Linked DNA regions of Caenorhabditis elegans. The protein of the gene in region 1 purifies or fractionates together with the protein of each later gene. This does not show direct contact. Each region holds a gene or a part of one and is shown on either strand. Other genes may lie near its edges. The genes, in order: aat-3 and atgp-2.

Evidence for each region.
Region 2: the proteins of aat-3 (region 1) and atgp-2 purify together in Caenorhabditis elegans (co-purification; one study listed by BioGRID). This does not show direct contact.

The regions. Positions count from the first base shown.
Region 1 is NC_003284.9:2,550,056-2,558,392, forward strand, and holds aat-3 (Large neutral amino acids transporter small subunit 1), read left to right. Parts: upstream 1-2,204; 5' UTR 2,205-2,380; coding exon 2,381-2,481; intron 2,482-3,509; exon of another isoform or gene 3,510-3,581; intron 3,582-3,734; exon of another isoform or gene 3,735-3,943; intron 3,944-4,175; coding exon 4,176-4,242; intron 4,243-4,302; coding exon 4,303-4,420; intron 4,421-5,009; coding exon 5,010-5,199; intron 5,200-5,256; coding exon 5,257-5,372; intron 5,373-5,439; coding exon 5,440-5,565; intron 5,566-5,617; coding exon 5,618-5,771; intron 5,772-5,827; coding exon 5,828-5,951; intron 5,952-5,998; coding exon 5,999-6,102; intron 6,103-6,835; coding exon 6,836-6,932; intron 6,933-6,980; coding exon 6,981-7,311; intron 7,312-7,358; coding exon 7,359-7,420; 3' UTR 7,421-7,674; downstream 7,675-8,337. Other genes in the region: F52H2.5 (Peptidase_M10 domain-containing protein), read right to left, coding at 7,991-8,165.
Region 2 is NC_003280.10:14,639,284-14,645,668, reverse strand, and holds atgp-2 (Glycosyl hydrolase family 13 catalytic domain-containing protein), read left to right. Parts: upstream 1-1,585; 5' UTR 1,586-1,594; coding exon 1,595-1,644; intron 1,645-1,927; coding exon 1,928-2,167; intron 2,168-2,574; coding exon 2,575-2,936; intron 2,937-2,982; coding exon 2,983-3,168; intron 3,169-3,215; coding exon 3,216-3,459; intron 3,460-3,503; coding exon 3,504-3,616; intron 3,617-3,664; coding exon 3,665-3,771; intron 3,772-4,053; exon of another isoform or gene 4,054-4,355; intron 4,356-4,460; coding exon 4,461-4,895; intron 4,896-4,950; coding exon 4,951-5,040; intron 5,041-5,177; coding exon 5,178-5,294; 3' UTR 5,295-5,571; downstream 5,572-6,385.

The DNA.
Region 1 (8,337 bases):
TTTAAGTTCCACAGAGTAACAGGTTACGTTAAAGGAGGAGTAACGATTTTGAACGTATAGACCAAAAATTTGCAGAAATGGACGAATTTCGTCTCAAAAAGTTGTCAAAAAAAATTTTTATTTCAGTTCACAATTTCGAATAAAAAAGGGTATAATTTTTTCCAAAACCTCCAATTTTGGACACTTACCCGTTTCTCAATTTTGGTCACTTCTCAGCGGTCCAAAGTTAACTTTTTCTAATTATCATCTTTTTTGCATATTTTGGTAGTTTATCTCCCGTTATTCATTGGTTAAGGTACATTTTAAACTGATAAATAATTAATTTTTGCAATTTTTGGTCATTGGATTTTTAGGCTAAAATTCCTATTTTTGCCTATTTTTTCTAACTAAGCACATTTAGGTAACGTATGTTTAAAATACCCTAAACCTAAGTTCAAGACAATTTATACCAGCTTAGAAAATCTGTAAAAAATATGGCCAACTATGAATATTTGGTATATTTATTCAATATGCATATTCCTATTTATACCTTATCAACTACTTATTCCTCTTGTTTGTCAACAAAATTTTTATCTCTGGTAATCTCTCAATTTCATATGCTATCCTTTTCTTCTTTTTTTCTTCTTTCATTTCTCCAGTTTTTGCTTCAATCGTCCAGTGTGGATTTCATTATCCTCTCTCTCTCTCTACAACCCCCGAGCTTTACGAGTTTTTACGAAAACAACACACGCACTATTTTCTTCCCTTGTAATTATTGATTCCAAATAAATAAATAAATTTCAAAAAAAGACGGAAAAGGAAAGGATGAGAAAAGTAATCATGCGCAAAAAAGCAAATGACCGTTGTCCTAAGACCTCCGTGCTCTTTTGCTCGCTGTGTCGCATCGATCTACGAAATAAAAAGTTGTCTGAATAGTATTCCTTTTTCTTGTTTTTTTTTTGTTTTCATGTTGCAATTTCAAACTAAAAAATTTGTTTTGATGCCAACGTTGTTCAGTAGCCAAAACACCTGCTTCTGACTAGAAAAAGTGAAAAGGTGCATAAATAATGAAAACAAATTAGGCGTAATCCCACCTGCTCTAGTTGTCATGGCGATTTTTGTTATGATGTTGTTTTAAAATGTTTGCTTCATTTTTTGCTTGTTATGTGTTTTTGTGTCATTTTTCAAGAAAACATTGAATTTCATGAAGAAAAATATACAGATTGAAAAGTTTCTTAAAGCTGCAAAATATTCTAATTCTATATAAATTATTTTAAAAATGTATGACAGAGTTGGGTTCTTATTTCCGACAAAATTTTTTCCTTTCTTCTCAGTGATGAGTGATTGTGATAGAAACTGACAGATTATTTTCCAATTGCTCATTATGAGCACAACTCTAATAAAAACTCAAAACTCAATTGCAAGCTATATTAAAACCTAATACTATTAAATAACTGTTTTCAATTTTTACCATAATATCTAAAAACTTAGCTTTGGTGGAACTAAAGTTTCCATGCAGGCGCGAAAATGCCTGCCGCGCTAACTCTGCGGCGAACTTCGCCTGTCTTGCGCGGCGAGCCTCGCCACCTGTATAGTGCGGCGCAGAAGCCGAAAAGTGTCGGCCGCGTCGAAAAAACCGTCTTTCGCACCATCTTGTGTAATCACCAAGCCTTTGACTTCTCGCCATAGTGCAGAAATGAAGCGAGAGGCCGGCAGGTTGGAGGCATGCGCCAGGCACTGAAACCGCGACTACCTCCCATGGATGTCGTAGTGGTAACCCGTTTCTAGACCGATTTATGTTTGCTTTAACTCGAAACAAAATCTCTCAAAAAATTCAAACGTTTTTTTATGGTTGGGCTTATTTTAGCTAAAATTAGACAATTTTTTGAGAAATTTTTGAGAAGTTTCATTATAAAAAGTTTCCTTGTAAACACATTTTGGCTCTTTACGTTTAAAATCGTCACTCCTTCAATCATTGTTCAAAAAGCTTTCACATCCTCACACCCTCAAAGTGCAAAACAATAAAGCGTTTCACATCTGGTGCACTTTTGTAAAATGCGTATCCAAACGCACGGAAGATGATTGTTCCTGTCACATCACTCATTACTCGTTCTCCTCTTTTACACTCCCCCAAATTTTCATTTCTGTTGATTCATTGACCCACGGGTATAAACATCGAATAAGAGGGGGGGGGGGGGGGGGTCTTCTTTTCATTCCGATTCGATACCCTAATAAATGTGCATTATCCGTCCCCGTTGTTAGGGGACAAGTAAGCAAGCTGGTTCCCACATTACCGATCCGATGACCGCTGTACTCATATATGTAGTAAGTAAACTGACGAGATAGTGCGGTTTATGCGGAGGTGAGTGAGGGTGACCAGTGTGCGCAATTCTTTTTGTCAATGTCTGCCCATTCCTCGTCATTTGCCCTCTGTCCCTCAAACGGCCGACACACGCACACACACACACACAAACAGGGGCTGGACGGACACACAACGATACGGTTAGTTCATCTAAAATGACATTTGGATTCAGAGATCCTCCGTTTACCAGTTAGCGTTTATGAGCGTTTATCTTGAGACCGATACCAATTTTATTTCATTTTGTTGGCAAAACCCCAAAATGACTGCCGATTTTCATCCGATTGGTTCTTCCTTTTAGTGTGCGTGTTTGAATAGAAACTTGATCGCTCTCCGTGAGTTGAGCTTTAGCTTCTACTTCAGAGATCTAATCCTTGACACCAACCACCTGACGTTTAGCGTGTCTATCCGGATCTATTCGGATTGAATTTTATCAATATTGCCAAGGAACATAACTTTCAGTTTTATTATGAGCCATGACGTTCTGAAGTCGGTCAAAATGCGTTTTTATTTATTTTTCAAAAATCTAGTGGAGTTTTGTCAGTAGGAGTCTAAAACGATCACAAATATCAAAATAGAACAATTCAAAACATTTTGGTTTTTTTTTAAGTTTCCAAGTTTTAAAGTTTTGGCAAATTGCCAAATTTTTTGAAAAATCTAGACCTTGAGAATACGTATACATGAATAACACAAATTTCAAGTTTAAAAAATCGTAGACACAATTTTTTTAAATCGTATTCTTAAATTATCAGTGGGCAAAAACTGTCACTTTTTGACAGTAAATAAAACATTTCCAGTTATTTTTGGTTGAAAAGTTTTACTATTTGTTTTTTTTTGACGCTATAGGAGCTGGCGCTACTTGTGTTGTATACTTTGCAAATGGTCAGCAAATTTTTTGTAACCTTGATTTCATTAAAACAAAAAAAAAACAAAAAATCAACTTTATGCTACTGTCCCACCATGTCAACAACATCACTATTATTATATTTAAAGTGAAAACAGCTTAAAAAAAAAAAAGTCACGCCCAGTACTAGTTTTCCGAAGGTTTTCTTTCCTCTTCTTGCCACTAATTTTTTTCGTCTATTTCTTTGAGTCTCTTTCAATTGAAATGTTTTTTTTTTCGCCGATGTCTGCCAAAATGTAGATGGCTTTTGCTTCTCTATCTCCCAGATCCTCGGTAGTATAGTGGTGAGTATCCGCGTCTGTCACATGCGAGACCCGGGTTCAATTCCCGGCCGGGGAGAACACTTTTTGCTGCTGATTTGCGTTAGAATTATTGTCTTCCGCTTCAGATGGTATCTCTCTCTTCCGCTATTTTCACTCAACTTTCTATATATGTCCGCCACCCTGTAATTATGATCTTCATCGACCTCGTATATAACCTATCCTACCGATAAAATGCACTGTGCATAACCAAACAAGTCAATGACAAGAGAGTCAGACGAGAGGAAACAACTTACTGTCATCTCTCGCGTCTTTTTTGTAGACGAGTCGAGTGCCGGCTAGCAAGCAGCTAATGGGGTTGCGATGACCTACCGACCCCCTGTCATGTACAGCCGCTCTTTTCTCACACGTTTATCTCTTCGCGTTTCCTGCCATTAGAACTTTGCTCGCTCCTGCCACCCACTTTTCCATTAACATTTGCTGCTTCTTCGTCTACGAATAACATGCTCTCTTTTTGCACGTAGTTCTATTCAAATACGAGTATCCCTTTTGCAACACTGTCCTTGAACGTTTTTCGCTTTTCGAATGTTTTGACTTTTTTCTCAACGTCTCTTGTACTTTTTTTTTCATTTTATCATCGTCAGTGAATTTTTTAAACGAGATTTTTTTTCAGACCAAAGATGGGTAAGCAAGAACAATCGGAACCGCTCAACCAAGAACCTTCAAATGAGCATCATGATGTGAGTATTTGATTTTTTTTTTAATTTAAAAAAGTTTTCCAACAATCGAGAATACTTTAGGAAGAGGTTGGCGACAAAGGTTTGGAAAAGACGATGACTTTATTCAATGGAGTATCTATAATTGTCGGATGCATTATTGGATCCGGAATTTTTATCAGTCCAACTGGAATCCAAGCACGTAAGTTGTTCGATAAGATCAGATAAAAAACCAATTAATTTCCCGGCGAGGGTTATACATTTATACAATAGAATTTAATTGTTGATAAAATTGTTTTATTGTCATAACAAAAGATTTTCACAGAGATATACCTAGAAGGTTATATATATATATATGCAATTTAAACCTTAATTTTTGAATTCTCATAAGTTCCTGAGGACTTCAAAATCTTAAAAATAAATTACCGTGGACCCAAACGTAGGCGCGTGTTTCAGTTGAGTTAGGAGTGAATTAGGAACTTTAAAAAAATCAATGTTGTTTTTTAAAACTTCACAGTGTAGAATTCTGATTAATAATAAACTTGCTCTTTTTTCTGAAAAATAGTTAGTAACTAGTGATAAAGCATTTTGATTTTAAAACGTCCGTTATGGACCTAGAATTCTCGAAATTTCAAATAGTAAAGAACAATTTTCACTCATTTATCTACACTTATCAAACAACTGCTAACATCAATTTTCTTGCATTTGACTTGACTATCACATCAAAACGTGTCATTTGTTGGCCTACCCTGTACAACAAGTTACTCTAATAATTTTGCTCCGCTTTTCAGAAGCCGGCTCAGTCGGCCTTTCACTGATCGTGTGGGTTTTGTCTGGACTCTTCGCCGGTATTGGAGCTTTTTGCTATGCAGAACTTGGAACTCTTATCCGTAAATCTGGTGGAGACTATGCGTATATTATGGAGGCATTTGGACCATTCCTGGCGTTTCTTAGACTTTGGATTGAAAGTATTGTAGTGCGGTAAGAAGCATATTGGCGACTTGAGATTTTACATTTATTTTTTTTTCAATTTTTCAGACCATGCACCGCTACAATTGTGGCACTCACGTTTGCAATCTACATGTTAAAACCATTCTACCCGGACTGTGATTCTCCACCACTTTCCACGGAACTAATTGCAGCTCTTCTTCTTGGTAATTGACCTTTATTTTTGAATTTTCAAACTTTTGAATTTTCAAACTTTTGAATTTCCAATTTCAGTGTTACTTACGGCTGTCAACTGTATCTCTGTCAAATGGGCAAGTAAAGTTCAAGATTTCTTTTTTGTGACCAAGACTGCTGCTCTTGTATTGATCATCTTCACTGGTTTATGGAACATGGTTTCTGGTGGGTTTTAGGATTGATTCATAATTCATATTTTATTTAAACTAAATTTCAGGCAAACCAGAAGCTTTTGACTCATTTGAAAATATCTTTGAAAACACCGCCAAGGATTTAGAAACTGCTTCACTTGCTTTCTACTCCGGATTGTTTGCTTACCAGGGCTGGAACTACCTTAACTTTATTGTTGAAGAACTTCAAAATCCAAAAAGGTCCGTTAAACCAGTAACATTTTGAAAACTCGATTCACAATTTGGAAACATTTCAGAAACCTTCCACTCTCTATTGCTATCTCTTGCTCACTGTGTACCATCATCTACACTCTTACAAACGTGGCTTTGTACACGTCAATCACACCCGATGAGATGCTTGCAAGCCCAGCGGTTGCAGTTGTAAGTTAGCCAATGCTCCTTAATAGAATCTGACAAAAATATTACAGCTATTCGCGGAGAAGAACTATGGATGGTTTGCTTTCTGCATGCCAATATTTGTGGCCTGCTCAACCATTGGATCGGCAAACGGTGTCATTTTGACAAGTTCTAGGTAACTTTTTTTAGACAGATTTTTTAAAAGTAGTATCAGGGCTGTGCGGCAGTCGAGATGTTCGGCAAGCGGCAATTGCCGAAGTTGCCGAACCCCAAAACCCCAAAATTTTCGGCAACCGGCAATTGCCGAATTTGACGAGCCAAAAAATTTTTGGAAACCGGCAATTGCCTTTTTTTGAAAATTTTTTTGTTGAAATTATATTTTTGAGCGCTTTGGAAAAAAGTATGGTCGTTTTTTTCTTTTACAGTGAAACGTTAGCATTTTTCAGGTTCTCTGAATGTTTTTTTCTGAGCTACAAAATGTTTGGCCGATATCGGCAATTGCCGAAGTCGAACCCAAAAATTTTCGGCAACCGGCAACTTGGTTACCGGTTGCCGCACAGCCCTGAGTAGTATAAAAAAGAATCAATGATGTATATAAATAATTAATTTCAACAAATTTTCAATCAATTACGCAAAAACATGCAAAAAGTTGCACGTAACTCGAGGATAATTTAAAAAGCACACTTTTCAAAAATAGTGTAGGTTATCAAAACGTTTGCAATAAGGGAATTTTTTCAATGCAATAAAGATATATGAATTAATTTTTAAAAAAGTGAACACATTTGGGGTCTATATGTACATTTAAAAAACCAATAACCGTTATTAATCCTTTAAGATCAACCAAGACTTACGACTAAGTTTTAGATTAACATATATTAAACAACACAATGCGAACTAAAATAATTCAGATTATTCTACTGCGGAGCTCGTGAAGGACAAATGCCAAATGTATTAACCATGGTGAACAAAACCACAAAAACTCCAATCCCAGCCGTAATTCTCACTGTAAGTTTTGCACATTCTTACTAGTATTGAAGTTTTTTCAAATTACAGGGACTTCTTTCCTTGCTCTACCTTCTTCTCTCCAACAACATTTACTCTCTCATCAACTACATTCAAGTCAGCTACTGGATTGCTATTGGAGGAGCCATCCTTGCGCTCTTCTACTTTAGAAAAACAATGCCAGATGCTCCAAGAGCTGTGAAAGCGCCGATAGTTTTCCCAATCATATTCTTCATTGGGTGCGTGCTTCTTGTGTTGGTCCCAGTTCTTGGAAACCCGAAGGATACTGCAATTGGAATCCTTATTATGCTGTCTGGTGTCCCTGTATACCTTATTTTCATTGCATGGAAAGGAAAACCAAAGTGCATTGACTCGCTCACAGGTAACTATTTCAGTTTTTGGAGTCCATTGATCAATTGGAAATTTCAGATTCCGTCACGATCTTCACGCAAAAGTTGTTCATGGTTGTCGACGCCAACAAAGAGGAATAGTGTCATAAAAACTTGTAGCTCTCAGTTCTCGGCGCTCACAATCCCCAGTTACCACCAATTTAGTTTTCGTTGTTTTCTTTTATTTACTAAAGTTCGAGAAAAACTGATCTCAACTATATTATTTCCCCCCCCCCCCTCCCCCCAATTTTACAGTATTTTGCCGCCGATATAAAAGAATACAATGACAATTCGTACAAGTAGAAATGCGAAAAACCATAATTATTTTGGCATAATAAATATATTCTCACTTCAAACACTTCTACATATTCTGGCTAATAATCGGTTTTCCTGAAAGTTGTTGAATTGCAATTTACAAGGTTTTTACTTATTGTTAGATTTTTTTCCACGGAGTTACAGGTTTTCACAAACAGTAGAATATGTTTAGAACCTAATTTTTAGTTTAAAATCTAAGTTAGATTGTTCTGGAACGTTTTACTTGCTCCAGATGCGGGTGCTCAACGCCTCTTTTTTTCAGACCCCTGGTTAATTAGTTGGAAATTGTTAAAATGGTTTATGTGTCTAAAATTATGTTTTTACATGTGAAAAATAAATTAAAACGTAGTTTTTGGCTCAGCGGCGACGAATGCGGTCATAGTCACAATTGTTGTAAATGGACGATTTTTTGTAGAATAACGATGCTCCATAGACAAATTGAACAAGAAGCGAATCCCAATCCGAATCTTTTGGAACAATGCATTCAAAATTCATATCAACGGAATAGTAGAATCGATTTGTGTAGTAGGAGCTGAAATTTAAATTTATTGAAAATGAGCAAAAATATTTTGAAGGTGGAGTAGCGAAAATTGCCTTTAAAAATGCCTATAATGACCTAAATCTCATACTTAAAAATTCAAAAAAAGTGATAAATTTTATATGAGTTTTTGAAATTCGGAAAAAACTCCGTTTTCCACTTTTTT
Region 2 (6,385 bases), on another chromosome or scaffold:
TTTCATCTCTTTCATCGTCGCTCAAAGCCTCTGCGTCTCTTCACCAACTCCCTCTCCCTACCCGTTTTCGCAACAACGTCTCCTTTCAAATTCGTTCTCTTTTTTCCCTGCGTCTAAGCTATTCCTTTGCTCCCTAGCGGTTAGTCAACAAATAGTGAGGATTCGCCTTCTCCTTTGAAAAATCGGCAAATTTTTCACGCTTGTTTTCTTCATTTTTTTTGCAACTTCTCGATCAATCTTCCTCAAAAATTGACCTGCTGTTGAGATTAAGGTGGACATGTGTTGATGAGTGGCTCTTTGAATGCTTAGTTACACTTTTTCTCGTGTCGTTCGTCCTCCTTTGACAAGTCACCGATACCGCGCGGCGCGGCGAGAGTGAAATATCGGGTTACTTAACTCTTTTTTGTATACCTATACCACTTGAAAACCTAGGTGATGTTCAAGGGGATTTTGATACGACCACAGTTTCACGCTTTTGATTTTGAAAAAACTTCAGTTTTGTAACCTTACACTTTTTCCATTTTAATGACTTTTTAGTTACTATATTTTTTATAAATTGAAACTTTTGTTGATAAGATTTTAAAAAAAACTTCGTGTGTTCAATTCTGAAGATTTTTAGTTTTAATTGAAGCTTTTTGCTTCTGTACTGTAATTTGCAAGATTCTTCTGATGATAATTATCCTAAGATTTTTTGTAGATCTTTTGAGACTCAATTTGTAAATAGGTAATAAGTAGGGTTTAGATAATTTTGAGCATTTTTTGGGAATTTTTGACCAAATTTTTCTCAACATTCTATATTATTTTTTTAAATTTTTTCTCATAAAAAAATGGAAACAGTTTCCAATTAATTACCAAAATTTATCAAAAAAAAATCTTAATTTCAAAAACAAACATTTCAATTTTCAAAACTTCAATATGCCACACAAAATCCATATTACTCAATAAATTTGTTTATAATATACACAGTGAATAAAATTGGTATGCTCTCATCTGGTGGGAATTGTCTATTCTGCATCCTAATCCTATATTCATTAGCCCATCTTCCTTCTCCCTCTGAATTCTATTGGGACCTCTATAGAATAGAGAAAAAAAGCCGAAAGTGAGCTTCTTCTTCTTTTTCTCCTTTCTCGTATTTCTCTTGACTTTTAAACGACTTTTTCTTATTTTTTTCCCTTGTTGTACGTTTACGTGTTTCCTGGATTTTTTGCTAAATCTTTTAGTTCAGGTTTTCGTGAAAAATTGTATGGCTCTGCTTTTTGGTTAGCTAAAATTTTGTGTCCTTCATAATTTTTAGTAAGAATATCTTTAGGAAAACACAAAAAGTTTAATAACGTATTATTAATTTTTTTATTGTACCCAAAACTTTTGCATCTATGCTTATACCATTTTAACTCATTTTTGAAAAAAAAACTCCGCGGCCAAAATTATGCCGCACCTATACCTTTGGCTTTTTGCAGTAAAGTTTCTAGAATTATTTTTTTCCTGTGACTTACATTTTTCAATTTCCTGAAATTCCGTCAAAACCTTCTTGTTTTAATCATTGTTCTTTGTTCCCAAGTTCACTGAACGTTATCATTTTTTGCAGACAGTCAAAATGGACGCCACCGACCGGCTAATGCCGGGTCCCGAGGGCAAGACACCAAGGTTAGTACAAGCGATAAATGGGATGATCTGGGTCGTTTGGAATGTCCTTTCTAGAAAATTAAAATGATAAGAAAACTGCAAATCATCTTTGTTCTTTAGGTTCAATTTTTCTATTCAGTCTGCTGTGCAGTCTGCCGAAATACCCATTCATTTTTCTTCATTTTCTTATTATTTTGCTAGCAAGTTAAGGAATGCGCAAATCTTCTATTCTTACTTCTAGTGCATTTTTCAGTTAAAAAACTAATCATAAAATTTAAGTAAAAATTCGATAATAAATTTCCAGGTTTTACGAAGTAGACCGTGGCAACAAAACTGAAAGCTACATTAGTGCGGTCTCTGGAAACCCCGTAGTGCCCGAACACATTATGCGGAAGGAAAAACGACAAGAACAAGAAGAAGCACCTCCACAAAAGTCTTGGGAACGACCACCGGCTCCCACTAATCCTAAAAATACTGATCAAATCGGGTTGAGCGAACAAGAGTTGGAGCAGTTTAGAAATGATCCTTGCTGGAAGTTTATTAGGTAATTGATTTTTTATAACTTGAATTTTCTGCCAGTGTTACTTTGGCAGTAGGCATTAAGCAGGAAAGGGAATACATTTTGTGCCTGCCGCCTGTAATACTAGAAATGAAAATAATTGTGCGCATTTATTTTGAATGGTCCTACACTAAACACATACCTAAACTAAAAAATAAAAGCCATGCCGACTGAGTGGGTGCTTAATCAGTAACTCAAACAATTGATCTTCGTTATTTACTTCGTTATTTACTTGGCTCTGCGCCAATATTTTCGTTTAAGGATGGAAGACACGTGGTGAAAAAAAAAATTAAAAGTACGTTGTATGGAGTACAGTAGCTAAACAACCTTCAAAGTTTTCAAAAGTTGTTGCGAGATTTTAGTGTTTGAAATCAAGAATCCAATATTTTCAGAACCGTCCTTTTTGTGCTCTTCTGGCTCATTTGGCTTGCTCTTTTCGCGGTTGCAATTCTCCTGGTCTGCTTCTCCCCAACCTGCGTCCTACGCGCAAAGCCCAACTGGTGGCAGACAGCCGTAGCCTATCACGTCTGGGTACCGTCCTTCCAGGATTCAGATGGTGATGGTGTAGGAGACGTCGATGGACTTATTAATCGACTCGATCAATTGAGAAAGTCCGGAGTTCAAACAGTGTGGCCTTCTCCGTTCTTAATATCGGATGATGAGAAGACGGCTGTAAGAAGTTTCAGTCAAATGGACCCAAAAATTGGTGTGAATCAGAAGGCTGATGAGCTTATCAACAAGATTCATGAGAAAGGTAATCGTAAACTTTACATAACTTCATAGGCCAGAAAATTTTGCAGAAATGAATATTGTAATAAGTTTCCCTATTGCCACCACCTCACTAGAACACGAATGGTTCTTGAACTCAGCGACGGCAAGCAAGACACCAAATGCCAACTATTCGCAGTTCTATACTTGGGTCAGCAAGGCGGCAGACTCCAACTTTTTCACAGAGCACAAGAATCTCTTCTATCTTCATGAGAAAGGTATTGAATTTCATCATTAAGAAAAACAGTTCTACTACTAGTTTCAGGAAATCCAAAATCCGCTGTACTAAACTGGCAGAACAGTAATCTCCGTGAGCACATGTTTAATGCTCTTTCCAACTGGATTGACCGCGGAGTCGATGGATTTGAGCTTCAAGGAATCGAGTACCTTGCAAGAACGCCAAATGGTACAGAACCTGACTGGAACTCAATTTATGACGTCATAAGGGATATTAGATTCCATGTGGATTCCTACTCGAACGAGAGTACAATTGCCGATGGAAAGAAAATGTTTGTCAGAAAGAAAACTTAATTTTTTAAAGTTGAAATTTCAGCGCCTTATTCTCTACCAGAGAAGAAGCGAAGGAGAAGGACAAGAAGCGTATGGCAAAGAGTGGGATGGACACAGTCATCAACTACGAGTTGGGAGAAGTTGAGAAGGACACTAGTGAGTTCTTATCGTACCTGAAAACTAATAGGTACAAGTTCATTGCAGAGATTTGTCACAAGAACGAGGGATCAGTTGCCACTTGTGTTCACGAGATTCTGTCCGACGTCCTGCTGTTCCATTCGTTGAACGAGCAAGTTTGGCCTCATTGGAGAGTAAGTTTTGTGGGGCTTTTGGAGAAAAGATTGTGAAATCGTGGCGGCGATTTAGACTAACTTAAATTTAGAAATTCGAATTTTAGTCATTTTATTGTAAATTGAAATAATTTCCCCAACAATTCATATGGGACAACACAAGAAAAATCTATAAAATAGGCCCGTTACCACCTTGAGAAGGCGGAGACACATACACAAAACCTAGTGGCAGGCGAAACCCGCAAGGTGTCGGCCGCACGTCTACCCTCCCCTTTATAACGACCGTCGGTTTTGAACGTACTCGGCGGTGCTCGTACGTATTTCGGTCTAGATTGATCTCGCTATAAAATAGTTGACGAACTTTAGATTGAATCAAACCATGACGAGGACCGGGAGCTCCCGTTCGGCTCGTGATGATGCCACGGTCCTAGAGCTCCCTCGATCAGAGGTTTCCCACTGACTGGCTATCCGGTGGATAGATTCATCCAGTCCTGGTGGGTTCTGTCACGTTACAGGCCTCACTCCCCCTAGGTTAGACAAATTCAAAATTATCTGAGCACCGCCGATGTGAGCTCCGCTTGTTAGGAGTTGTCAAAATTTTTTTTGCCGTGTATTATTTGAGGAAGTAAGCATGAAACATTACCAAAGAAAAATTTCCGGGAGTCAAATCGTTTTAATTATTTTGAAAAAAAACTTTCTAACATTTTCAGTTCGGCTCCCCGGACCTGGCTCGAATTGCGTCCCGTGTCGGATCCCGTCCACATGCACAACTCCTGATGGTTCTCCAAATGATTCTACCTGGAACTAACAATATCTACTACGGTGAGGAAATCGGCATGCGAAATCTGGCGAATGACTCCAGAGTCCCACCACAGAAGGGTGCGATGCAATGGGATGACTCGTTGAACGGAGGATTCACATCAGCCATCAGTCCGCCGGTTCCGTCAAATATCGACGTGGCGAATATTAACTGGAAACGGCAATACGCTGAGCCTCAGTCAACATTGAAGATTTTCGCGAAACTGGCGAAATTGAGACAGAGAGAAGATGCACTGATGACTGGAACCACGCTGATTGGGCGACTAGTTGATGGAGCATTCACGATTACGAGATTCAATAATTTTGAAAATAGAACTACTGGAAATGTGAGTTTTTTTCTTATATCATAGGGAAATTTTTCAAAAATTATGAAAAGTTCAGATCTACGTAGCCGCTCTCAACTTTGCCGAGCATCCAGTAAAACTTCCACTGACAGACTTGCCAAGCAACTCAAAATTGCATAAATCTACAGTGAGTTTTCGAAATTTATAAAAAAAACTGCCAACACTTGTTACCTTCTTTTTGTTATTCATAGAAAAAGCAACTCCCCTATTATGAATTAGTAACACACATGCAATATCGATGCACATTCAATTTCCGAATTGCAGATAGTCACCGCCACATCCAACTGTGTCGCCTACTACGCACGTCAGACAGTAGACTTTGGCTTAAAGGAAATCGAATTGGAACCAAATGAAGGCGTCGTGTTCCGCTATTCAGCATGATTATCTAATTCATCTTGTTATGCAAGGTTTTCCAATAATATGTGTCAGAACAAAACTCTTAGAACCAATTTTTTTGTAATTTTCAATTTTTCTATGTTACCTCGGCCCCCGATTGCTTTCGTTTTCCCTGTCAACAATGGTGCATACCTTCGTTTTTTCCTCTTTCTTTTCTTCGAATTTCTCAAATCCCCGCTACTTATTTATATGGTGTGACATATCCGCCCCGCGTGAATTGTTAATTTTAAAAATTAAATTTTTATAATAAAATATACAATTATTGTTGAAAGCCACGTGCTGCAATGCAACAAAAAATTGAGCTTAGGGCTTTTATGGCAAGAATGCACGCCGTGCCTGCCTGTCTGCCTTTTTCGTTCGACATACGACTTTTAATCAACAATAGGTTATTTTTCGACCTTACTTTTTTCTACGCTCTCCAATGAAGTTTGTGCTTTGCATATGCCATTAGTAATATTATGCAAATCAATCATAAAATTAGACACAGAAAAAAGTGATTAAAGCTGGTTAAAACAGATGTCTTAGTAACTTTTTGATGTATGAGTTTTAGCATTTTAATTGATTGGCAGCCGGGTTAACAGCTATGAAAATAGGGTATAAAAAGTCATTAAAATGCGTATTAAATATAACATAGTTCTCTATGATTCTTCAATTTTTATAATAATTATTTTTTTTATTGTTATTATTGCACAAAACTGCCTCATCCCTTCCAACCAGGTTGTCTTGAATGCAGGCCGGCATTTTTGGGTATAGTGTTAAAAGAATTTTGCATATTGCGTAGTTTATGATTTGAGAACTGATGAAAATCAGGTAACTTCCAAATCTTTACGCATTGTTGGCTAATTTTCTCTCATTAACATTTCAAACACACATTTTTTTTCTCTGACTTTTCAGATTGTGTATTATAGTGATTATTAAAAAAATGTTCGATCTACATTTATTTCCTTGCCTATTCATAGTTTGAATTGCCAAAAAATCACGATTTTAGCAAATTGAATGTATAATAATTCAATTTTATCAATTTTTCAGCTATGCTTAAATTGAAGTTTGATCAGTATTTGTTTCCTTGGTCTAAA